Anolis sagrei: one gene and its partner. The protein of the gene in region 1 purifies or fractionates together with the protein of each later gene. This does not show direct contact. Links are inferred from orthologs where the notes say so. Each region holds a gene or a part of one and is shown on either strand. Other genes may lie near its edges. The genes, in order: LPIN2 and FBXW11.

Region 1 (12,190 bases):
CATCCTTAGGTGGAGTGTGTGTAGAAATGTCCATATGCATCTATGTGCTGCCATTCAACTTCCCAGGTGGGTTCACATATTCTATTTGTAAAATGGCAGCAGGGGAGGGACAAGGCTCTTGTTCCATGAGAAGGTTCCCATTCAGTGTGCAAGAATTTTGGTGCAGCTGCCACCCACATAGGCCTTCCACCAGAAAGCAGAACAAGTCTAATGCGGAGCTTGATTCTTTTTCTTGTGAAAGAAGAGGAACTCGCTGATTTTGCATTGGGGGGAAGGAGAGAATGAGAACACATTAAGCTGCTAATTTACTCTTCCTGTAGGAAGCATCTCACAAGTTCATCACAGCTTCCTTAATGGAATATATTTATTTACTCAACCAAGTCCAAATAGCTATTCAGGTAAAAATGCTGGTAAGAAACATTTAAAACAGGCATGGGCAAACTTCAGCCCACCAGGTGTTTTGGACTTCAACTCCCACAATTCCTAACAGCCGATAGACTGTTAGGAATTATGGGAGTTGAAGCCTAAACACCTGGAGGGCCTAAGTTTGCCCAAGCCTGATTTAGCAGTACCCTCCTTGCACCAGTTTAAGACCAATGCTGTTTTGGTTTCAGAAAGAAGAGTAAAAAGAATTAGAACAATATGGCCATTATTTTCTTCATGACTTCCATTATTTAGCTTGGGAGAAAAGAAGGCTGAGAGCCATGTTCAAATATTTGGAAGGATGTCACATCGAGCAGGAGGCAGCCTTGCTTTCTCTAGACTAGGAGCAATGGATTCAAATTGCAGGAAGAGATTCCATCTAAACCAGTGGTTCCAAATCTTTTTTTGACCAGGGACCACTTGACCAGGGACCATTCTCTAACATTAGTACCAAAAGTGTTACGAATCAGTTTTTAGATTCGGCTTGGGGTGCAGATTCAGAAATTTGCATTGGATACCCATATCAGTTCTAGTTTCTGATAAGAACATATGCCGTGGTCAGTGATAGGCCACACAAAAGGAGCAGAAATAAAATAAAATAATAAAGAGAAAAGAGGCTCGTGGACCAGATTTTCATCCTTGCTGACTACTGGCAGCACACAGGTTAAGAACCACTGATCTAAACATTAGGAAGGGCTTCCTGCCAATAAGAGCTATTGTTCAACAGCGGACCCTGCTGCCTGGAAGCATGATGGTGTCCTCTTCTCTGGAGGTTTTGAAGCAGAGTCTGGATGGCCATCTGTCAGGGGTGCTTTGACAGTGTGTTCCTTCATGGCAGAACAGGATGGCCCGTAGGGTCTCTTCCACCTGAATGTTCCATGGAAGTTAAGGCTGGAGCAAGGGACCCAGAGTGACGTGGTTGTCTCCATCAATAAGGATAATGAAGAAACAGACAATGGGTGGATGATTTTTCATTTTGTCGTGTTGCCGCTTTCCTTTGAGGAAAGGAGGGCGTCCTTCCCTTTCAGATGAAGGAGGCAAAGTTGAGGTTTGGAGGAGACATTGGATCCCTCTGGAAGAAGAAAAGTCCAAAGGGAAAAGCAAAGGGGATTTGGCCCAAGGGATAGATATCAACTGCTTTGGTTGTGACCCTGCAGGGTGAGTTTGATGGAAATCTATCTGTATATTTGGCAGGCTGGTTGGAGGGGGAAGGCAATGCCTAGAGTTGGATCCAGACTCATTCTTCCCAATGCCTTTCTGGATCACAATATGATATTATCTTTGAATATGTTTTAATGGATTTTGAAAAAGTTGAAATCCAACTTACTAATGCCTTGAAAGATCTCTCCTGCTACTGAAAAGATAACCACCTGAAGCCTAACCCTGCCAAGACACAAGTGTGTGCTTTCCATCTATGCAACCGTGAAGCCAACAGGAAATTGAAAGTCACATGAGAAGCTCAAGAACTTGAACATTGTTTCCATCCTAAATATCTCGGTGTCACCTTAGATCGAACGCTAGCATATAGGAAACACTGCTTGAACACCAAGCACAAAGTAGCTGCACTCAATAACATCCTGTGGAAACTTACTTGCAGCGCATGGGGTGCAGACCCAAAATTAATAAGAACATCAACCCTAGCCTTGTCTTATTCAACTACCGAGTATGCCTGCCCGGGGGTGCTTCCATGATGTCTTGAACTTGTTTTTCTGGCGGAAGAGCGTGTTGGTGATGACAAGGTTGTGCTCCGCACATTTGGTGAGAAGCAGGATGCCATTCGAGTTGCTGTTTCCAACCCCGTCTTTTCCTATGGTGCCTGGCCACAGGTCGAAGTCTCGCCCGACTCTTGCATTGAAGTCCCCCAGGAGAATGATTTTGTCCTCCTTAGGTATCCCCGATAGGACGGTGTCCAGCTGACAGTAGAATTTCAAAGCACTGGCACCTCTTAGACTATGTAATCACACGTGCCAGAGACCGCCGTGACGTGCTCCTCACAAGAGCCATGACAGGTGCTGACGACTGCTGGACCGATCACAGGCTAATCCGATCCACGATGGCTATCAAGATCGCTCCCAAGTGCAGACTCCAAGGAAGGAAAACAAGGCGCAAAATGAACACCCAAGCCCTTCAGGAGCCCTCCAGACGAGCTCATCTCCAAACAGCACTCAAGGACCATCTACCCACAGTACACCCCGAAAATGTTGAGGAACATTGGAACAAACTGAAGACCTCCATCATCCAAGCCTGCGAAGTAACTATTGGATACCAAGCCAAGAAACATCAAGATTGGTTTGACGAAAATGACATCGAGATCCAACAGCTAATCGACAAGAAAAGGAAAGCCTTCCAAATATGGCAGAGAGACATCAACTGTGGTGCTAAGAAAAAGATCTACGTCAATGCAAAAGCTGAGGTCCAAAGAAGGACAAGAGAACTCAAAAACATCTGGTGGACAAAGAAGGCTGAAGAAATCCAACACCTGGCAGATACCCATAATGCTCAAGGATTTTTCAAAGCCACAAAGGTCATCTATGGACCAAGAAACCATGGCATACAGCCTCTACGTTCATCAGACGGAACCAAACTCCTGAAGGACCAAAAGTCAATTGCACTACGTTGGAAAGAACACTACCAAAGCCTCCTAAACCGCAGCTCCAATGTGGCCGAAGAGGTCCTCTCACAAATCCCGCAACAACAAACCAGAGATGAGCTTGCAGAACTGCCTAGCTTGGAAGAAGTCAGCAATGCCATCAGCCAACAAAAGAATAACAAAGCCAGCGGACCAGATGGGATCCCTGCTGAAATCTTTAAAGAGGGAGGACCCGAGCTGACACACCAACTCCACCAGCTCATAGAAAAAGTGTGGGTGACCGAGAAAATCCCAGCAGACTTCAAGGATGCCACCATCATCACCCTCTTCAAAAAAGGGGAAAGAACAGACTGCGGAAACTATCGAGGTATCTCCCTTCTAACCTCTGCTGGGAAAATCCTCGCAAGAATCCTTGCAAACCGCCTTCTGCCCCTCTCAGAAGACACCCTCCCAGAATCCCAGAACGGCTTCCGCCCCTCCAGAGGAACCGTGGACATGATCTTCACTGCACGACAGCTCCAAGAAAAATGCAGAGAACAAAATCAACCTCTGTACATGCCATTCATCGACCTTGCAAAGGCATTCGACACAGTGAATCGCAGCGCTCTCTGGACCATCCTCCAAAAAATCGGGTGCCCAAGCAAATTTGTGAACATCCTGCGGCTCCTCCACAATGACATGATGGCAACAGTCTTGGACAGCAATGGCTCCCAAAGTGACCCATTTAAGGTGGAATCGGGTGTCAAACAGGGATGTGTTATTGCTCCAACTTTATTCTCCATCTTCATCGCTATGATACTTCACCTTGTTGATGGGAAGCTTCCCACCGGAGTGGAAATAATCTATCGGACAGATGGCAAGCTGTTTAACCTCAGCAGACTGAAAGCCAAAACCAAGGTCACAACAGCATCTGTTATAGAACTCCAGTATGCTGATGACAATGTCGTCTGTGCGCATACATAAGAAGATCTACAAGCCACCCTCAACACCTTTGCAGAAGCATACACAAAGCTTGGCCTGTCGCTGAACATCGAGAAAACCAAAGTGCTGTTCCAGCAGTCACCAGCCGTCCCCTCTCCAATGCCAGAGATACAGCTTAATGGTGTAACATTAGAAAATGTCGACCATTTCCGCTACCTTGGCAGCCACCTCTCCACCAAAGTCAACATCGACACCGAAATACAACACCGCCTGAGCTCTGCAAGTGCAGCATTTTCCCGAATGAAGCAGAGAGTGTTTGAGGACCGGGACATCCGTAGGGATACCAAGGTGCTTGTCTATAAAGCTATTGTCCTCCCAACCCTGCTATATGCCTGTGAGACGTGGACTGTCTACAGACGTCACATGCAGCTCCTGGAACTATTCCATCAGCGCTAACTCCGGAAAATCCTGCAAATCTCCTGGGAAGACAAGCGGACAAACGTCAGTGTGCTGGAAGAAGCAAAGACCACCAGCATTGAAGCGATGGTCCTCCAACATCAACTACGCTGGACAGGCCACGTTGTCTGGATGCCCAAAGCAGCTGCTCTACTCCGAACTCAAGAACGGAAAACGGAATGTTGGTGGGCAGGAAAAGAGATTTAAAGATGGGCTCAAAGCCAACCTTAAAAACTCTGGCATAGACACTGAGAACTGGGAAGCCCTGGCCCTTGAGCGCTCCAGCTGGAGGTCAGCTGTGACCAGCAGTGCTGCAGAATTTGAGGAGGCACGAGTGGAGGGTGAAAGAGCGAAATGTGCCAGGAGGAAGGCGCGTCAAGCCAACCCCGACCGGGACCGCCTTCCACCTGGAAACCAATGCCCTCACTGCGGAAGAAGATGCAGAGCAAGAATAGGGCTCCACAGCCACATACGGACCCACAAGGAAACCCATGATGGAAGACCATCTTACTCGTCCAACGAGGGATCGCCTAAGTAAGTATGCCTGCCCTGTTTGGCATAAGTCTCCCACGCAAAGCAGGTGAACATAGCATTGGATGAAATATGCAGAATAATCACAGAATGTCTTAAACGTACACCTGTTGATAAACTCTATTCTAGGTGCAAAGATTACTGCAGACGCAGGCTGCAGCCAGGAAATCAGAAGACGCTTGCTTCTTGGGAGAAGAGCAATGTCCAATCTCGATAAAATAGTGAAAAGTAGAGTGATCACACTGGCAACGAAGATCTGGATAGAATAAGCAATGATATTCCCCGTAGTCACCTACGGATGTTAGAGCTGGATCATAAGGAAGGCTGAGCGAAGGAAGATAGATGCTTTTGAACTGTTGGAGGAAAGTTCTGAGAGTGCCTTGGACTGCGAGAAGATCCAAGCAGACCATACTTCAGGAAATAAAGCCCGACTGCTCATTGGAGAGCAAGATAGTAGAGGCAAAGATGAAGTACTTTGGCCACATCATTTATTTATCGTGTCATCAGCAACCATACCATTATGTTACAATTCTAACAGAACAAAACAAACACACAGATTAAAAAGAAAAAGAAAAAAAAACAGACATCATGAGAAGACAGGAAAGCCTGGAGAAGACAATGATGCTGGGGAAAATGGAAGGAAAAAGGAAGAGGGGCCAACCAAGGGGAAGATGGACGGATGGTTTTCTTGAAGTGACTGGTTTCACCTTCAAGGAGCTGGGGTTGTCAATGGCTGACAGGGAGCTCTGGCGTGGGCTGGTCCATGAGGTCACAAAGAGTCAGAAGCAACTGAACGAATGAATAACAACAACAATAAAACTTTATATCCCGTACCTATCTTCCCGAGGGGACTCTGGGCAGAAAAAACACATTGCGATTTCTCCACATTGCGATTTCTCTTATAAGCACACAGCTTTCTTAGGCTCTTCCAGACAGGCCCTATATCCCAGGATGTAATCCCAGGTTTTCTGTTTTATTTATTTATCGTGTCAGGGGCAGACCAAACAGTTGCATTGCATTTTTAACAAACAAACAAACAAACAAACAAACAGACAGACAGACAGACAAAACACAAAGTTTGCAAGCTTGGTAGTTGATTAAATGTCCTTTGACCAGTAGCTGGCCACTTGGAGTGCCTCTGGTGTTGATGCAAGAAGGTCCTCCATTGTGCATGTGGCAGGGCTCAGGTTGCATTGCAGCAGGTGGTCTGTGGTTTGCTCTTTTCCACACTCGCATGTGGTAGATTCCACTTTGTAGCCCCATTCCTTAAGGTTGCAACTTGTGGAGCCAGAGCGCAGTCTGTTCAGCGCCTTCCAAGTTGCCCAGTCTTCTGTGTGCCCAGGGGGCAGTCTCTCATTTGGTATCAGCCATTGGTTGAGGTTCTGGGTTTGAGCCTGCCACTTTTGGACTCTCGCTTGCTGAGGTGTTCCAGCGAGTGTCTCTGTAGATCTTAGAAAACTATTTCTTGATTTAAGTCATTGACGTGCTGGCTGATATCCAAACAGGGGATGAGATAGAGATGTCACTGCCTTGGTTTTCTGTTTATTGCAGTTTACCTGGCAGCATAGGAGCCCCCGGTGGTGCAGTGGATTAAACCCCTGTGCTGGCAGGACTGAAGACCGACAGGGCGCAGGTTCGAATCCGGGGAGAGGCGGATGAGCTCCCTCTATCAGATCCGGCTCCTCATGCGGGGACATGAGAGACGCCTCCCACAAGGATGATGAAAACATCAAAATCATCCGGGTGTCCCCTGGGCAACGTCCTTGCAGACGACCAATTCTCTCATACCAGAAGCGACTTGCAGTTTCTTAAGTCACTCCTGACACGACAAAAATAAATAAATCTGGCAGCGTAGACTCATATAATCCAGTTTAAAATAGAAAACCTGGGATCAGATCCTGGGATATAGGGCCTGTCTGGAAGGGCCTTTAGAATATAAATGGGGGGGGGGAGGGGAGAGAAAGAAAAAGAGGAAGGAGAAGCTCCGCTGTGACGCCGCTGCAGCCACTAATTAGCCCGGCTCGCTCCACGTTGCAACAGAAGAGGAAGAGGGGGAGAAGGAGGGGGGGGGGTGCTTGGAACACCGGGCGCGAGCGGAGAGCGCGAGGGGGTGGGCACGCGCACAACGCCGCCTCCATCCATCCAGCCAGCCATCCATCCATTTCCCCCTCCTCTACGGTCACGTGGGCTTGGCTTTTCCCTCTTTAAACCTCCCCCCGCTCCCCTTCTCGCTCTTTCGCTGCCATGCCATCCACCAAAGGTTCTGAACGTTGACACAAGGAAGAGGAGGACGAAGAAGGGAGGGGGGAGGAGGGAGGAGGAGGAGGAAGAGGAATTTCCGTTGAGCGCGTGCGAGCGTGCGCGCGCCGGCACCTCCTCGCGTGCGTCACCTTCCCCCTCCCTCGTCGCGCGCCGCCTTGCCTTGCCTTAGCCTTGCCGTTCAGTTCATTCAGCCGGCGCCTCAAGAGAGGGAAGGAGGGAGGCCGGCTGCTGCTCCTCTTGCTGTTCCTCTTCCTGGCCGCCCTCCTCTCCCCCCTGCAGCTCCATCCGACTGAGGCAAGGAACGACGAGGTGAGGTTAGGCGAGGAATTGGCTCTCTCCTTCATGGCATTTCGGTCCCACAGGCTCCTTAGTTGTGGCTTCGAGAGGCGGGTGAGGCTGGTCTCGGGGACGGGCCGGCTGGGCGTCACAAAAAGGGATGCTGTTGCCGCTGCCTGAGGGACGACAGCGGGACACTGACTGACCCTTCATTTTTCACCTCATTGGTTTTGTGTGGACTGTTGAGAAGCCATTGAGGGCCAGGAGGCTTGGTTGTGTGTGTGGACCCTCACTCCCCCCTGCCTCTCACAGGCTTCAGGATTCTGTTCTCTCAGGCCCCTTCCATACAACTGAATAAAATCCTACATTTTCTGCTTTGAACTGGAATATATGGCAGCGTGGACTGAGGTAACCCAGTTCAAAGCAGATATTGTGGGATTTTCTGCCTTGATTTTCTGGGTTATATGGCTGTGAGAAAGAGCCCTCAAACTCTCCCAATCTTGCAGGGGCACCTATTATTAATTCCTTATTACCCTATTTTAGTTGCTTTTAAAATGTCCCAGTTTCTTTCCTCTTTCTACTTTCATTCTTTGTCCTCAGCTTACTGCAGTTGCTGAAAAATGATCTCAAAGTACCAATTATCTCAGGAAGAGAGGAAAAGTGTAATTTTGCAGTTCCCAGTAGGCTCAGGCAAAAACAAATGTTCCCTGCCTATCCTAGCTCATAACCTCTTTTTCTTTAATAATTGTAGCCACTCTGAAATGTTGTCATTTGTTTATTTCAATTGCTGTAAACTGAGTTCAGTTATCTCGGTGCTGAAGGAGGAGGGGAGGAGAGGGGTGGAATCCTGCCATTTCTAGTAGGCTCAGGCAAAAGCAAACTACTGCATTTATTTATTTACTTTATTTCTATACCGCTTTTCTCAGCCCTCAGGCGACTTAAAGCGGTGAACAACATCGATACAAAACATCACGAGACAAGTACAGGGCAATTAAAAACAATTGTAACATAAATAATTAAACATCAGTATAACAATAATTAGCACCTCAACAGTAGAATCAGAATCCAGTCTCATCATCCATTATTCTGTATTCCTATGTTCAATTATACTGTTTAATCAAATGCTTGTTCGAACAGCCAGGTCTTCACTTTCCTCCAAAACGCCAGCAGGGAGGGGGCCGATCTGATATCTGCAGGCAGGGCATTCCACAGCCGAGGGGCCACCACTGAGAAGGCCGTCTCTCGTCCCCGCCAAGCGCGCCTGTGATGCAGGCGGGACAGAGAGCAGGGCCTCCCCAGATGATCTTAGTGTCCTAGTCGGTTCATAGGAGGAGATGCATTCGGAGAGGTAAGTGGGGCCAGAACTGTTTAGGGCTTTATAGGCTAACGCCAGCACTTTGAATTGTACCCGGTAGCAAACTGGCAGCCAGTGAAGCTGGCGCAACAGAGGAGTAGTATGCTCCCTGAGTGCCACTCCTGTTAGCAACCTGGCTGCCGAACGCTGGACCATTTGAAGCTTCCGAGCAGTCTTCAAAGGCAACCCCATGTAGAGAGCGTTGCAGTGGTCTATACGGGATGTAACCAGAGCATGGACTACCATGGCCAAGTCAGACTTCCCAAGGTACGGGTGCAGCTGGTGCATAAGTTTTAACTGTGTGAATGCTCCCCTGGTCACTGCTGAAACCTGGGGTTCCAGGCTCAGCGACGAGTCCAAGATCACACCCAAGCTGCAAATCTGCGTCTTAAGGGGGAGTCTAACCCCGTCCAACATGGGCTGTAACCCTATGCCCTGTTCGGCCTTACTGCAGTCTCAATACTTTTGCAATCTTGTCCACAATCTTATGTTATGCCCCAGTTTTCCTCTGTGAACATTTTGGAGGGTATAATATCAGGACTGGGTCCCATGAAGTAGTTCTCAACCTGTGGGTCCCTGGGTGTTTTGGCCTAATTACAACTCCCAGAAATCCCAGCCAGTTTACCAGTTGTTAGGATTTCTGGGAAAAGAAGGCCAAAACATCTGGGGACCCACAGGTTGAGAACCAGTGCCAGAGGCTTGAGTTACTCAGGTAACCCAGTTCAAAGCAGATATTGTGGGATTTTCTGCCTCGATATTCTGGGTTATGTGTGCATGGCTTTTCCTTTCGTGTTTTTCCCTTTTCCCACAAGTATTTTTGGGGCAGCAGTTGTTTATTTAAAGTCCTTGTGTTGAGCACAGTCATGGGCAAACTTGGGACCTCCAGGTGTTTTGGAGTTCAACTCCCACAATTCCTATCAGCCGGTAGGCTGTTATGAATTGTGGGAGTTGAAGTCCAAAATACCTGGAGGGCCCAAGTTTGCCCATGACTGTGCTCAACACAAGGTCCGCAGGAAGAATCTGGCCCTCCATCTCATGTTATGTGGCTTTCCAGATGCTGGACTACAACTCCTGTTTTCCTCATCATTAGACATCATGACCAGAGCTGATGGGAGTTGTGATACAGTCACATCTGGAATGCTGCATTTTGGTGTGTTCAGTCAGGATATTGGGGTTTTAATGTCATTACACAGCTTTGGCTGGCCTTTAATCTTTTGCACAACCTCAGAGCCACAAGTGCTTTTGGGTTGTCCCATTCTACCCAGTCACTTGACAAAAGTGATGGGAATCGTTGTTCAGTAATATCTGGGGACCTAAACAGGATAAAAGCTAAAGAACAGTGATCACTATGTAAAAATATTATACTTGGCCCTATGTAGCCACAGATTCTCCATCCATGGATGCAAAAGCCCCTTGAAGGCAACCGTAAGGCTGATGTGGTCGTTGATAAAAAAATTAGTTGGACCGCTTTGGTTTAAAGTACAGTAGTCTCTTAGTTAACCGGCACCCATAGGAGATTGGTAGCAATTGGCTAAATGAAATTTCTGATTACTTGAGAGATAATATTAAAATAGCTAATACTATGTCATACCATAAACTCTGTATTGACTTGATATTAATATTGAAATACAGTAAAATCGCTTCTGGTGTGAGAGAATTGGCCGTCTTCAAGGACGTTGCCCAGGGGACGCCCGGATGTTTAAACATCCTGTGGGAGGCTTCTCTCATGTCTCCACATGAGATGCTGGAGCTGACAGAGGGGAGCTCACCCCTCTTCCCAGATTTGAACTGCAGACCTTTCAGTCAGCAGTCCTGCTGGTACAAGGGTTTAACTCATTGCGCTACCGGGGGCTCCAATACAGTAATTAAAAGCAAATAAAGACAAATTTAATTTGCTCTAATATTTCTGCTAAAAATTGATTTTATAAAAAGGATTGTTCCTTTGATTTTTGTTGGTTGTTTAAGAGTTCCAGTTGCTCAAGTTCTGATTAACTAGGTTTATGGCATAAGATTATGGTTTACACTCAACTCTGAGTCCCCCTAGGGGTGAGAAAAGCGATATAGAAATACTGTAAATAAATAAACTCTGTCTTATTTTCATCCAGTTTCAAGGAAATGTTTTGATCCTAAATCAGTGTCAGTAATTGAGTCAACGAGGGTGATCAAATTGAAACCTAATCCAGACAAGACAGAAGTGATGTTGTTCCATCAAAACAGATTGGGGAACAGAGATGCAGCCTGGAAGAGGTTACTCCCCCCCCCCCCCCCCAAATCTCAGGTTCAAAAATCACATACTGGATTTCTCCTTGAGCCTGGATGCCAAAATTTCAGTGGTGACCAGGGATGTCTTTCCACACTTGAAACTAGGACACCAATTATAAATCTCATTGCAGATGTCAGATATGGCTATGGTGATTCTTGCTTTATTATTTTGATTATTGTAATGTACTCTTTGTGCGACTGCCTTTGGAACTTTCAACTGGTTCAAAATACTCTAGTTGAAGTGTTTATCTGGGCTAATTACAATGAATATATAAATCCTCTTGTTGCAGCAGCATCACTGATTGCTAGTTTTTTCAGGCAGTTTCATGTGCTAGTTTTGTATAATAACTATTAATTGAGTTCAGACTTTCTGAAAGACTGTTACTCCCTACACGAGCTTGAAGATCCTTAGAGCAGTGCTGTCTTTCTATCCTATCACTTTGACAGGCATACTTTGTGAGCACCCATGGGAGAGCCTTTTCAGTATGATTCTGTATTGTTCAGTACCTTCCCAGAGCCCCCCCCCCTCCATGACAGGAGACTGGAATAAATGATCATTGTGGTCTCTTCCAAATAAAATCTATGATTGCACTGACTCCCCCCCCCCCCAGTGCAGAAATAGAAAATACCCTTTTTACACAGACTGGACTGTGGACTGGTTGTTATAGAAGGGTTTTTAATAGGGAGAAATTGTACATCTATCCTTAGTGTGACTTTAAAATATTTTAAAATTGTTTTTAATCAGTTATGTTTTTAATAAGATACCTTTATTTTTAAAAACCATTCACAAGATTATGATGATTGCTTTTTAGTTGAATTTTATTTTAATCAATATACTGTTGAACAAGTATGTTGTAATAGTTTTCTGAAATCTTGGTTAATGGTGTCACAAATGCTTGGCAGGCTGGCTATACACTTGCAGGCAGGGGTCTTAATTATGGTATATGCATGCTCAACATTTTTGAAAAAGAATATTTTGTTAATTTTTACCATAATTCTTTTTCAGATGCTACATTAGACTTCATAAATATTCTAGTGATCCATGCCTTGTAGTTGTGTGCTTGGTTCTATTTGTTCATTCACAAGGTCTTGTAGCAAGTTGACCTGTTCTGTTA
Region 2 (11,966 bases), on another chromosome or scaffold:
CCTATTTTGGCATATCTATCTATACATGATGAATTTTTTGGGGAGGTGGGACATAAGGCTAACCATAAATTTCTTTGAGAATCCATACATACCTTATGTACATAGCCTGGAGGCAATTTTATACACAATAGCTTTAATCATTTTGTACATGAAACAGTTGGTGCACACTGATGCATTAAAAAGCAAAGGTATCGCAATCTCAGCCATGTGGACAATTGTGGTGTTTGTTTCCAAATGGTACCAAATCCATCTGAACAAATTTTACAGATACCGGTGAAAAAACGTGCTGAGGATGTGCACTCTTTGGCTACGAAATGCAATTTGCCAAACCCTGTACATTACATTTTTAGTTTTTGATCTGCGCATAATATATAGGCAATTCCCAAGTTATGAAGAAGATAGGTTTATTCTTTTAAAGCTTTAAATAGCAGAAAGAAGGGTGAATACCCCTGTGGTGTTTGTTTTGCTGTCTGTGCCCGTTCAGAAGATTTCACTTCATTTTCTGTCCCTATGATTATTGGATTTTTAAAAATTTGGGTTGTTGTGTAAACAAGGATTGGCGATAAAGCGTCAGTGGAGACAACTTTTCCCCATGATAACAACTTTTTTAGGAGTGAATTTCCCTGAGGAATAGATTTCTCTCACTTCCTGTTCTCAGCCTATTCTTAACTATGAGTGTTTTGCAAGTCTAATGTTTGTAACTTGGGGACTGCCTGTACTACTCCTAACCAACAATGTGTTGCTGCCTAGAACTCTCTCTCCCCCTCTCCTCTTTTGTCTTTTGGTGCCTTTTGGAAAGAAACTCAATTTGGAATTCTGGACAAGGGATACTTAACCTGCATTAGCTCCCTCAGGCCTATCAAAAAGGAAGGGAAAAACAGAACTATGCCACAAGGTGTGTGTAAGGCAGCTCTTGCTCGTTTGCAGCACAAAGGAAAGGTTTGTGCTGCAAACCACTGGCCCCTTCCTGCCTGGAAACCTGCTGCCAGTCACTTTAAACAAGGGTTGGAAGAGTAGCTCCCTTGAGCAGGTGTGGCTAACAGGGCCCAAGGCCAGGCATACACTGTAGACTGAATGCAGTTTGGCACCGCTTTGACTGCCATGGCTCAGTGCAGTTGCAATCCCCCCCCCCCCAACCCAGTTTTTAAAATAATAAAGCAATTATACAAATCACACACAACTAACTTTACCACAAAACATACAATAAATCAGTTAAACAATTAACCATATATTTCTATACATGTAATCTCTATGTGCACCCACCCATGGGGCATATATTCATCTTTAATATTAATTATTCTTATATTGACCTCTTCTCCAAAATACCAGTGTATGTTGATTTGGTTTTATTCCTTTTTCTTTGACAAATATATATTCTATGAGAATTCGCCCCATATTACCTCAAAATAATTTCTCTTCATTAATCCCTTTGTACATTTTATTCCAATATATCAATTTAGTGTTTATTGCAATGTTCCACACCTCTTTGTATCAATCATCAATATTGTAAGCATAATTTTATTTCCATTTTTGGCTATAACTAATCTTAAAGCAGTAAAAAAATAGTATTAATTCTACCTTTTGCCATTTTATTCCCATGTCTCCAAAATTTAATAGATTGCAGTATTTGGAAGTTTTTGTAGATTAAGCGATCGTGTCATTAATTTCAACAAATACTTTATCCCATTTTTTATCTTTTCACACTCCCGCCACAAATGTATGTAAGTCCTAGTTTCCGTATTGGATCTCCAACAATTTTGTAGGTTGTTTCTATTCTAATGTAACATTATTGGAGTCATGTATCACATACCATCTCCAAATTGTTTATAACTGTTCTCTTTAATTCTAATGGGTATATATTTCATAATTCTTGTTTCCAATATTTAACCATTCCTCCTCTGTAATATTGATTCCTAGGTCCCATTTATTTTTTTTGTTTTGAATTGTATTGGAGCACTTTCTAACATTATTTTATAAATTTTACCTATTTGTCCTTTGGCTACTTCATCTGTACCATTCTGCTTTAACTGTATTATTAATTCTTCAAATTTTGTTAACTGTCTGCATTTCCCAGGTTGTTTGATTTAATTCTTATTTTGTGAATCCAATTGTTGAACGTTATACCAAGATATTCTACTCTGTTTAAATATTTCTGTTATATTTTCTAGAAACTTTATTTATACAATCATCTATTTATTTTATTTAGGCAATTTTATCCCACCTTTACCTACTGAAGGGTCAAAGGCGGCTAACAGCATTTGTAAAATACGCACAATACAAACATTAAAACAATACTTAGTCTTGAAATATCACAATACTCCAGCTCTTTCCATGTCCTTTGTGAGTTGTCTTAAGGTTCTCTGGATTTTTTTTTAGATCTATAACTCTAATCAGTGGTGATCGGGGGCTCCTCCACTGAGGGGTCCCCTGGTGGTGCAATGGGTTAAACCCTTGCGCTGGCAGGACTGAAGACCGACATGACGCAGGTTCAAATCCAGGGAGAGCACGGATGAGCTCCCTCTGTCAACTCCAGCCTCCCATGCGGGGACATGAGAGAAGCCTCCAATAAGGATGGCAAAACATCCGGGCGTCTCTTGGGCAACGTTCTTGCAGACGGCCAATTCTCTCACACCAGAAGCGACTTGCGGTTTCTCAAGTCGCTCCTGACACACACAAAAATCAGTGGTGATATTCCAGGACTAAGGATTTTTTTATGTCAAATGTATTTATTATTTATGATATTTCTATCCCGCCTTTCTCAGCCCGAAGGCGACTCAATCTGTGTTGTTGATCTACCAATAGGGTTCTTTTATTTCTTTGAGACATTTATTATTTTGGGCAGTTGCAGTTTCATAAGGTCTTCAGCATTCTCTGCCAAAAAGAGCCAAAGTACACCTGAGCCGTGATAGTTAAAGTGGGCTCAGACTGTATTAATTCACCAGAATGGGTGAACTGTTAAATTATCACTGCTTGCATCAGCATCTACATTCCTTGGAATACTCCAATGCAACATGACTAAAATGATCAAGGGTCTGGAGAACAAGCCCTATGAAGAGCGGCTTAAAGAGCTGGGCATGTTTAGCCTGAACAAGAGAAGGCTGAGAGGAGACATGGAGAGTAGGACACAGAATAATGGCTTCAAACTACAAGAAAGCAGATTCCATCCGAACATTAGGAAGAACTTCCTGACTGTGAGAGCTGTTCAGCAGTGGAACTCTCTGCCCTGGAGTGTGGTGGAGGCTCCTTCTTTGGAGGCTTTTAAACAGAGGCTGGATGGTCATCTGTCAGGGGTGCTTTGAATGCAATATTCCTGCTTCTTGGCAGGGGGTTGGACTGGATGGCCCATGAGGTCTCTTCCAACTTCAGGATTCTACGATTCACAGGTCAGTTAGAGACATTGCACCAATCCTTGGCAACCTTTCGGTCATACAACATACAGTTCAGTCGCCATCATGCGCTGGAACAGTGAGGAGCATGCTTTTGCCATTGAGGCCTACTTTTTGAGCAGATTTGGAGTGGCTGGCCCGCTCTCCAGATTTGGCCCCTTGTGATTTTTTTCTATGGGGTTTTTTGAAATCCCATTTATGTGAACCATCCAAGGACCCTACAAGATTTGAAGACCAACATCCAGGAAGACATTGCCAACATAATGCCTGCTATGCTGGCAAGAGTCATGACAAACACTAGGAATCGGTTTACTCAGTGTATGGAGAATGGGGGACATCACCTACCTAATTTGATCTTCAAAACTACGTAAAACAAAACTTTAGGTATGCGCCTACATTATAAAAAAAATCTAATTCATACAATGGGTTTTATTAAGTTTTGAAAAAAGGAAGTTATGCTGCCTCACCCTGTATTTGGGTTAGTTGTAATAGTCTATTCTATAGTCTCTGAGTTCCCATTGGGGTGAGAAGGGCATCATATAAATGTTGTAAATAAATAAATGGCATGTTTCTATGTGGTTGTAAACATCCATGAGTCTGTTTGACAAAGGCAACCATTTCCCAAATAAATAAAAACTAGAATATCAAGGCAGAAAATCCCACCATATCTGCTTTGAACTAGGTTATGAGAGTGCACACTGTCATATATTCCAATCAAAGCAGATAATGTGGGATATTATTCAGCTGTGTGGAAGGGCAAGTTATGCTCTGAGGTCCTTTCCACACAGCTGAATAAAACCCCACATTTTCTGCTTTGAACTGGAATATATGGCAGTGTGGACTCAGATAACCCAGTTTAAAGCAGATATGGTGGGACTTTCAACCTTGATATGTTGGGATTTTCTGCCTTGATATTCAAGGTTGTATGGCTGTGTGGAAGGGCCTTATATAGTATTATTCATTAAACCAGTGGGTCTCAACCTGTGGGTCCCCAGATGTTTTGGCCTTCAACTCCCAGAAATCCTAAAAGCTGGTAAACTGGCTGGGATTTCTGAGGCCAAAACACCTGGGGACCCACAGGTTGAATACCACTGCTTTATATGGTGTCTGTAGTAGTCTCCCAGAGTGTGTTGAGAGCATTAAAAGGACCAGGGTTACCTGAGGGCCCTTCCACAGGCAGAAAATCCCAACATATCTGCTTTGAACAGGGTTATCTGAGTCCACACTGCCATATATTCCAGGTCAATGTTGGATTGCATACCGATGTGTGGAAGGGACCATATATATATGGCCCCTTCCACACATCTTTCTCTCTCTCTATATATATATATGGTCCTCTCTGTCTCTCTCTCTCTCTCTATATATATATGCCCCCTTCCACACATCTCTCTATATATATGGTCCCCCCTCTATATATATATATATGGTCCCTTCCACTCATCTGTGTGTGTGTATATATATATATATATATGGCCCCTTCCACACATCTATATATATATGGTCCTCTCTCTCTCTCTCTATATATATATATATAGTCCCTTCCACACATCTGTGTGTGTATATATGTATATATATGGCCCCTTCCATACATCTCTATATATATATATGGTCCTCTCTCTCTATATATATATATATATATGCCCCCTTCCACACATCTCTCTATATATATGGTCCCCCCTCTCTTATATATATATATATGGTCCTTTCCACTCATCTGTGTGTGTGTATATATGTATATATATGGCCCCTTCCACACATCTATATATATATGGTCCTCTCTCTCTATATATATATATATATGGTCCCTTCCACACATCTGTGTATATACATATATAAGGCCCCTTCCACACATCTATATATATATATATGATCCTCTCTCTCTCCATATATATATATGGTCCCTTCCACACATCTGTTTGTGTGTGTATATATATATATATATGGCCCCTTCCACACACACACATTTATATATGGCTCCTTCCACACATATGTATGTGTGTATATATATGGTCCCTTCCACACGTGTATGCAATCCACATTGACCTGGAATATATGGCAGTGAGGACTCAAGATAACCCTGTTCCATGCAAATATGTTGGGATTTTTCTGCTTTGATATTCAAGGTTTTATGGCTGCGTTGAAATATCCGATTTCCCATTGTTTTCTGCCTGTGTTGCGTTCCTGTGGCGAAAACGCCAACTCCCGCTCCTCTTCCCTCACCGGGACAACGGGCCTCTTCCTCCTCCTCCGAGGCCAGGCGGCGGAGAGGCCCGCTTTGCAGCAACGGCCGCTTCCTCCTTCCAGCAAGTTCCACCGCAAATGGCGCGGAGTGAGCGGGCGGGCAGCCCAAAAGCAGCCCTTGGCATGCTGGGAAATGCAGTCCTCTCGCCACCGTTGCTAGGAAACGCGCAGAGCCCGCCTTGACAGGGAAGGGAGAGAGGGAGGGAGGCAGGAAGGGCTGCCGCTCCGCTGCGGCGCTGAGAGAAAGGAGGCGACGACACTGCTGCAACCGCCACCACGCCCGGGCTACTACATCACTTCCGCTTCCGGGCGCGCGGCCGAGGCGGAGGAGGCGGCGGCGGCGGGTCAGTCAGTGGCGCTAGCGGCGGCCTCTTCCCTCCCTCCCTCCCCCTGCTTCTTTGGAGTGAAGGAAGCCCGGGGTCACTACGGGGGTCCTTCCCTCCCCACCGGCCCGCCGCGGAGGAGCCGCTCCCACCGACGCCGCCGACGCCATGGAGCCGGAGTCGGTGATTGAGGACAAGACCATCGAGCTGATGGTGAGTGAGGAAAAAGGAGGAGGAGGGAGGGAGTGGGGGAGGGGAGGCGGCCGCGGAAAGATTGGAAGGAAGGAAGCAGGCAGGCAAGCCGGTGCGGCAGGCCTCGGTTTGGGCCTCGCCGCTCTCCGTAGCCCCCGCCATTATGAAGGAGGGGGAGGGGTCTCGCGCTGGAGGGAGGGAGCGCGCGCCCCCCTCCCCCTTCTCCATTTTGGTCGGAAGGCGATTCTTAAAGGGGCCGCCTCGAAACAGGCTCCTCTTTTCTCCCGAGGAGGAAGAAGAGTTTGGCCTCTTTCTCAGACAAAGGCCCCTTCCACACAGCTGAATAAAATCCCACCTTGAACTGGGGCCCTTTCTATAAATCTGAATAAAATCCCACCTTGAACTGAGGTCCCTTCTACACAGCTGAATAAAATCCCACCTTGAACTGGGGCCCTTTCTATAAATCTGAATAAAATCCCACCATGAACTGAGGTCCTTTCTACACAGCTGAATAAAGTCCCACCTTGAACTGGGGCCCCTTTCTATAAATCTGAATAAAATCCCACCTTGAACTGAGGTCCCTTCTACACAGCTGAATAAAGTCCCACCTTGAACTGGGGCCCTTTCTATAAATCTGAATAAAATCCCACCTTGAACTGGGGCCCTTTCTATAAATCTGAATAAAATCCCACCTTGAACTGAGGTCCCTTCTACACAGCTGAATAAAATCCCACCTTGAACTGGGGCCCTTTCTACACAGCTGAATAAAGTCCCACCTTGAACTGGGGCCCCTTCCACACAGCTGAATAAAATCCCATCTTGAACTGGGGCCCTTTCTATACATCTGAATAAAATCCCACCTTGAACTGAGGTCCCTTCTACACAGCTGAATAAAGTCCCACCTTGAACTGGGGCCCCTTCCACACAGCTGAATAAAATCCCACCTTGAACTGGGGCCCCTTCCATACAGCTGAATAAAATCCCACCTTGAACTGGGGCCCAAGCTACACAGCTGAATAAAATCTCACCTTGAACTGGGGCCCATCTGAATAAAACCCCATCTTGAACTGGGGCACCTTTCACACAGCTGAATAAAATCCCACCTTGAACTGGGGCCCATCCTACACAGCTGAATAAAATCTCACCTTGAACTGGGGCCCCCTTCCACACAGCTGAATAAAATCCCGCCTTGAACTGGGGCGCCTTCTACACAGCTGAATAAAATCCCACCTTGAACTGGGGCCCCTTCCATACAGCTGAATGAAATCCCACCTTGAACTGGGGCCCCCTTCCACACAGCTGAATAAAATCCCACCTTGAACTGAGGTCCCTTCCACACAGCTGAATAAAATCCCACATTATCTGCTTTGGACTCGGATATATGGCAGTGTGGACGCTGGTATTCCACTTCAAAGAAGATAATGTGAGTTATTCTATCTTGATATTCTGTGTTGAAGGGCTGTGGATTACATGGCAGTGTGGATTTAGAGTCCTTCCAGACAGGCCCTAAATCACAGGATCTGATCCTAGGATCTGTGCTTATTCCAGATTATCTGGCAGTGTGGACTCATATAATCCATTTTAAAGCAAGAAACCTGGGATCAGATCCTGGGATATAGGGCCTGTCTGAAAGGGCCCTCAGATAACCCAGGGTCCTTACACACAGACCTATATCCCCGAATATCAAGGCAGAATATCCCACATTATCTGAATATGGACTCAGATAACCCAGTTCAAAGCAGATATTGTGGGATTTTCTGCCTTGATATTCTGGGTTATATGGCTGTGTGGGCCCTCAGACAAAAGAGAAAGCTCCCTGCGGCCCCCTCCTTCCATCTCACTGCCTTCCCTACATCCCCAAGGACTGAAGGTGACATCCACCTGGACTTGCCTGAGAAAGGATGCTCAGCACACAAAGCCCCAGTGTCCCCCAAAGAAGGGGGTGGGGCTTCTTTGAGCTCCTTTCCATATCCGGACCTTTGTCATCTTCCCAGCTTGGCCCAGTCTGTGAGTGCTTCTCAGGATGGAACTAAGGCCTCTTCCACACAGCTGAATAAAATCCCACATTATTTGCTCTGAACTGGAATAATAATAATGATAATAATAACAATAATTTATTTATATTCTGCCCTATATCCCCTGGGGGACTCAGGCAGATTCCAATACACAAAAAGGCAAACAGTCAATGCCTCAATAAAAGTAAATACGAATATAAAAACCCAAGATAACCCCAAGGGCAACTTAAGCATGTAATTTAAATAAAACATCAATTGAAAGTTATAACAGAACTTGAACATTAAAAAAATCTGAATTACTATATCAAAACAACACGAAGGTTCACAAATGTGTGGATAGATTGGATGGCCAAAGTTGTTAAGTGGGCTAATGTGATCTAACAAGGCCCAAGTACATTTATACTATCCAATAAACAGTCTGGCAATATATGGCAGTGTGGACTCAGATAACCCAATTCAAAGCAGATATTGTGGGATTTTCTGCCTTGATCTTCTGTGTTATATTGCTATGTGGAAGGGCCCCCAGACAAGCTCAGGATCTAATTCCAGGTTCTGCATTAAACTGGATTTTATGAGTCCCCACTGCCACATAATCTGGAATAAACAGACAACCTGGAATCAGATCCTGGAATATAGAACCTGTTTGGAAGGACCCTTAGCTGCCTAGGCAAGTGTTTGGGTTCCTCTCTCCCCTTTTGGATGGGTTGAATGATCTTTGAGAGCCTGTGTACCCTGCTTTCTCTCTCAGGGTCCTTCTACACAGCCATATAATGCAGAATTTCAAGGCAGAAAATCCCACAATATCTGCATTGGATTGGGTTATCTGAGTCCACTTCCATATATTCCAGTTCAAAGCAGATAATGTGGGATTTTATTCAACTGTGTGGAAGGGACCTCATAAAGGAGCCTCCCAATATGCAATGTATACCTTCTCCTACATTGCATGAGAATCCTCCTTGCCCCAGGCAGTCTTTCCCAAACCCAGCGTTTCCTCCTGTCGATTTCCTAACCGCAAGGGACCATTGTTCTGAAGAACAAACTGCCTCCTGCTTCTTGGCTGAAAGTCGCAAGACGCCCACGCACCCAGAAAGCATTGATTAACGTGGAAAACATATTATTTCTTTTATTGGATCAATATCCCACCTTTTGTTCAGATTGTGGCCCTTTCCACACAGCTGTATAAAATCTACATTGAACTGGATTATATGGCAGTTTGGACTCACATAATCCAGTTCAAAGCAGATATTGTAGATTATCAGCCTTGATATTCAGGGTTATATGGCTGTGTGTTATAGGACCCTGGGATAAGATAGGGAATGCTCTAAATACTAAGATTATTATTATTTAAAAATATTATGTATTTTATTGGATTTGCATCTTACCTTTTTCCCAGACTGGGATAAAATAGGGAACTGGCTAAATACTGAGATTAATTCTAAAAGTATTGTTTATTTTTATTGTATTTGCACTCTGCATTTCTCTTAGACTAAAGTGAAATGGGAGCTTCTCTAAGTGTGGAGATGCTGAGACTTGCGCCTCTCCTACACAGATGTATAAATTCCAGATTTTCTACTTTGAACTGGATTATCTGGCAGTGTAGACTCAGATAATCCAGTTCAAAGCAGAACATGTTAATTATCTGTCTTGGTATTCTGGATTATATGGCAGTGTGGAAGGACCCTCAGTTGGTTTAAAAAGTACTTCGGTTTTCTGTTGATAGCATCACCTCTCTATTAAAATGTAGTCTGTGGCCCCTTCCACACAGCTGCATAAAATCCATATTGAACTGGATTATATGGTCATGTGAATTCAGATAACCCAATTCAAAGCTAATATTGTGGATTATCTGCCTTGATATTCTGGGTTACATGGCTGTGTGCTGTAGTCCTTTGCCTACTTAAATATGTAGACATGTAGCTAGCTAAGGTCTTCCTTCCTTTTTTTGTTACAAAGATGTGATTTCAAATACACTAATAGCTGTAATGAGTTGGATTGGATGGCCCTTGTAGTCTCTTCCATCTCTATGCTTCTGTGTGAGAGCTGTTCTGTATAGTCCTGCAGTTACATAGAATGTGATGCTTCTATTCCTCATGTAAAAGTCCTGAGTCTGATGGAGAAAGTCTGAACTGAAATGTCAATTTTATATTTGACTTACCTGTAAATTACCTGAACAGCATTGAGAACCTGGAATTGTAGTCTTTAAATGTTGATAAACAAAATAATGCGGCAGAACTATTAAATGCATCTATTCTGATCTGTACTTTGTCTACAAAAGGGTGAAATATGCAATTTAGATCAGATTGTGTTTCTTTTGTTCATTGAGATTCTTTGGAGATTATTTTGGCTTTCAAAGTTTAACATGTGCATTATACGGAAAAACAAGTATCTGAATCTGCCAACTCTTGGTGGGGAAGGTGTGAACGACTTCCCATTTTTCTTAAGGGAGGGGTTATAATATTGGAAGTATCACATGGAGACTCTTCTGTTGTCAGTCATTAATTCTTTCATATATACAAGCACCATTTTAATGTGAAGAATTTGAAGCATAAATATTTATGATTTTGGGGTTACCTTTACTATTTGAGTGTGTGAATACAATTCCTACTTAAGCAGTTTTTGTGCCATAAAAAGCATGTAAAATTAGTATTGTATGTTCAGTAAATACTAATCATATAGATATCCAATTTTATAGGGATTTTTTTTCCTGAATGCTTGATGCTAAATGTTGCTTTTTGACTATAAAATGATGATTCTTATCATCCAAAAGGACAGTAATAAGATAGTGATATGTATCATTATGGCACAGCAATACAGCTGGTCACTGTGATTTCCATAGATCTAGTTGTTGCATGTTTTCAGGCTCAATACACTATTCACTAATAGAGATGTAAGATTTCTTCATGTTTGGAAGCCACTGAAAAAACTATTTTTTATTTTCATTTCTTTTTGGAGGAAAAAAGGACATTGTAGGAAAAGCTGAAAATGCAATAGAAGCGCCCTTTACAGATTGAAAGTCATATTGCTGTAATTAGGACAGAACATGTATTATGTATGATTTAGTTTGGCATAAAAATATCATGCCTGACATATTGCAAGTACAATTTATTGTGAATGTAATTACAAATCAAGCTTCCTTTTAAACTCCCTTTATTTTTATTTTCAAAGTATTATTTATTTTGTGTTCCAAATGGAATTACATGGTCCTGAACTATAATGAAAACTTCAACTATAAGGAGTCTTTTGGCTTTAGCAATTTGAACAGTTTGTGTATGTCTGTGTGAGTATACGTGCCTTCAGGTTGCCTATTGACTTACAACAACCCAAGCATTTTATGTCACCCCCCCCCCCCCCAAAGGGAACATTAAGATCAGTAAAACAGGACATTATTTTGTCACTGGTTTTTCATAGGCCACAATCTACACCTCGCATTTAATGCAGCTTCAAACCAGCATTGAAGGAAGTATTTTCGTTCTTCAGGTGTTTACAGAGGAAATCCTAAAACCAGTTTGAGGCCCAGATGGGGATTGCATAAACTACAGAGCACTGATGCACATTAAAGGCATTCTTTTGCAGAGTTTTGTGGAAGTTTTGTTGTCTGGCTGCAACAGTTTCAAGCTATCTTTGAACTGTTGTGAATGATTAGTGTAGGTGGGTCACTAGTCTCAAGCAGACATAACACACTCATTCCCATAAAAAGGACCCAAGATAAGGAATTGTAATGCTATGATACTGTATCTAGCTCTACATAAAGGTTTTGCTTATACGTCGTTTTAGAAATGTTCTTGGGCAGTAGATATGTGATTGCCTTG

What was found.
Region 2: the proteins of LPIN2 (region 1) and FBXW11 purify together in Homo sapiens (affinity purification with mass spectrometry; 4 studies listed by BioGRID and IntAct, with this or other methods). This does not show direct contact. The link is inferred for Anolis sagrei from reciprocal best matches to the Homo sapiens genes LPIN2 and FBXW11.

What each region holds. Positions count from the first base shown.
Region 1 is NC_090024.1:62,059,763-62,071,952, reverse strand, and holds the start of LPIN2 (phosphatidate phosphatase LPIN2), read left to right. Parts: upstream 1-7,268; 5' UTR 7,269-7,492; intron 7,493-12,190. UniProt on the Homo sapiens protein: Acts as a magnesium-dependent phosphatidate phosphatase enzyme which catalyzes the conversion of phosphatidic acid to diacylglycerol during triglyceride, phosphatidylcholine and phosphatidylethanolamine biosynthesis in the endoplasmic reticulum membrane.
Region 2 is NC_090021.1:141,610,586-141,622,551, forward strand, and holds the start of FBXW11 (F-box/WD repeat-containing protein 11), read left to right. Parts: upstream 1-5,968; 5' UTR 5,969-6,118; coding exon 6,119-6,163; intron 6,164-11,966.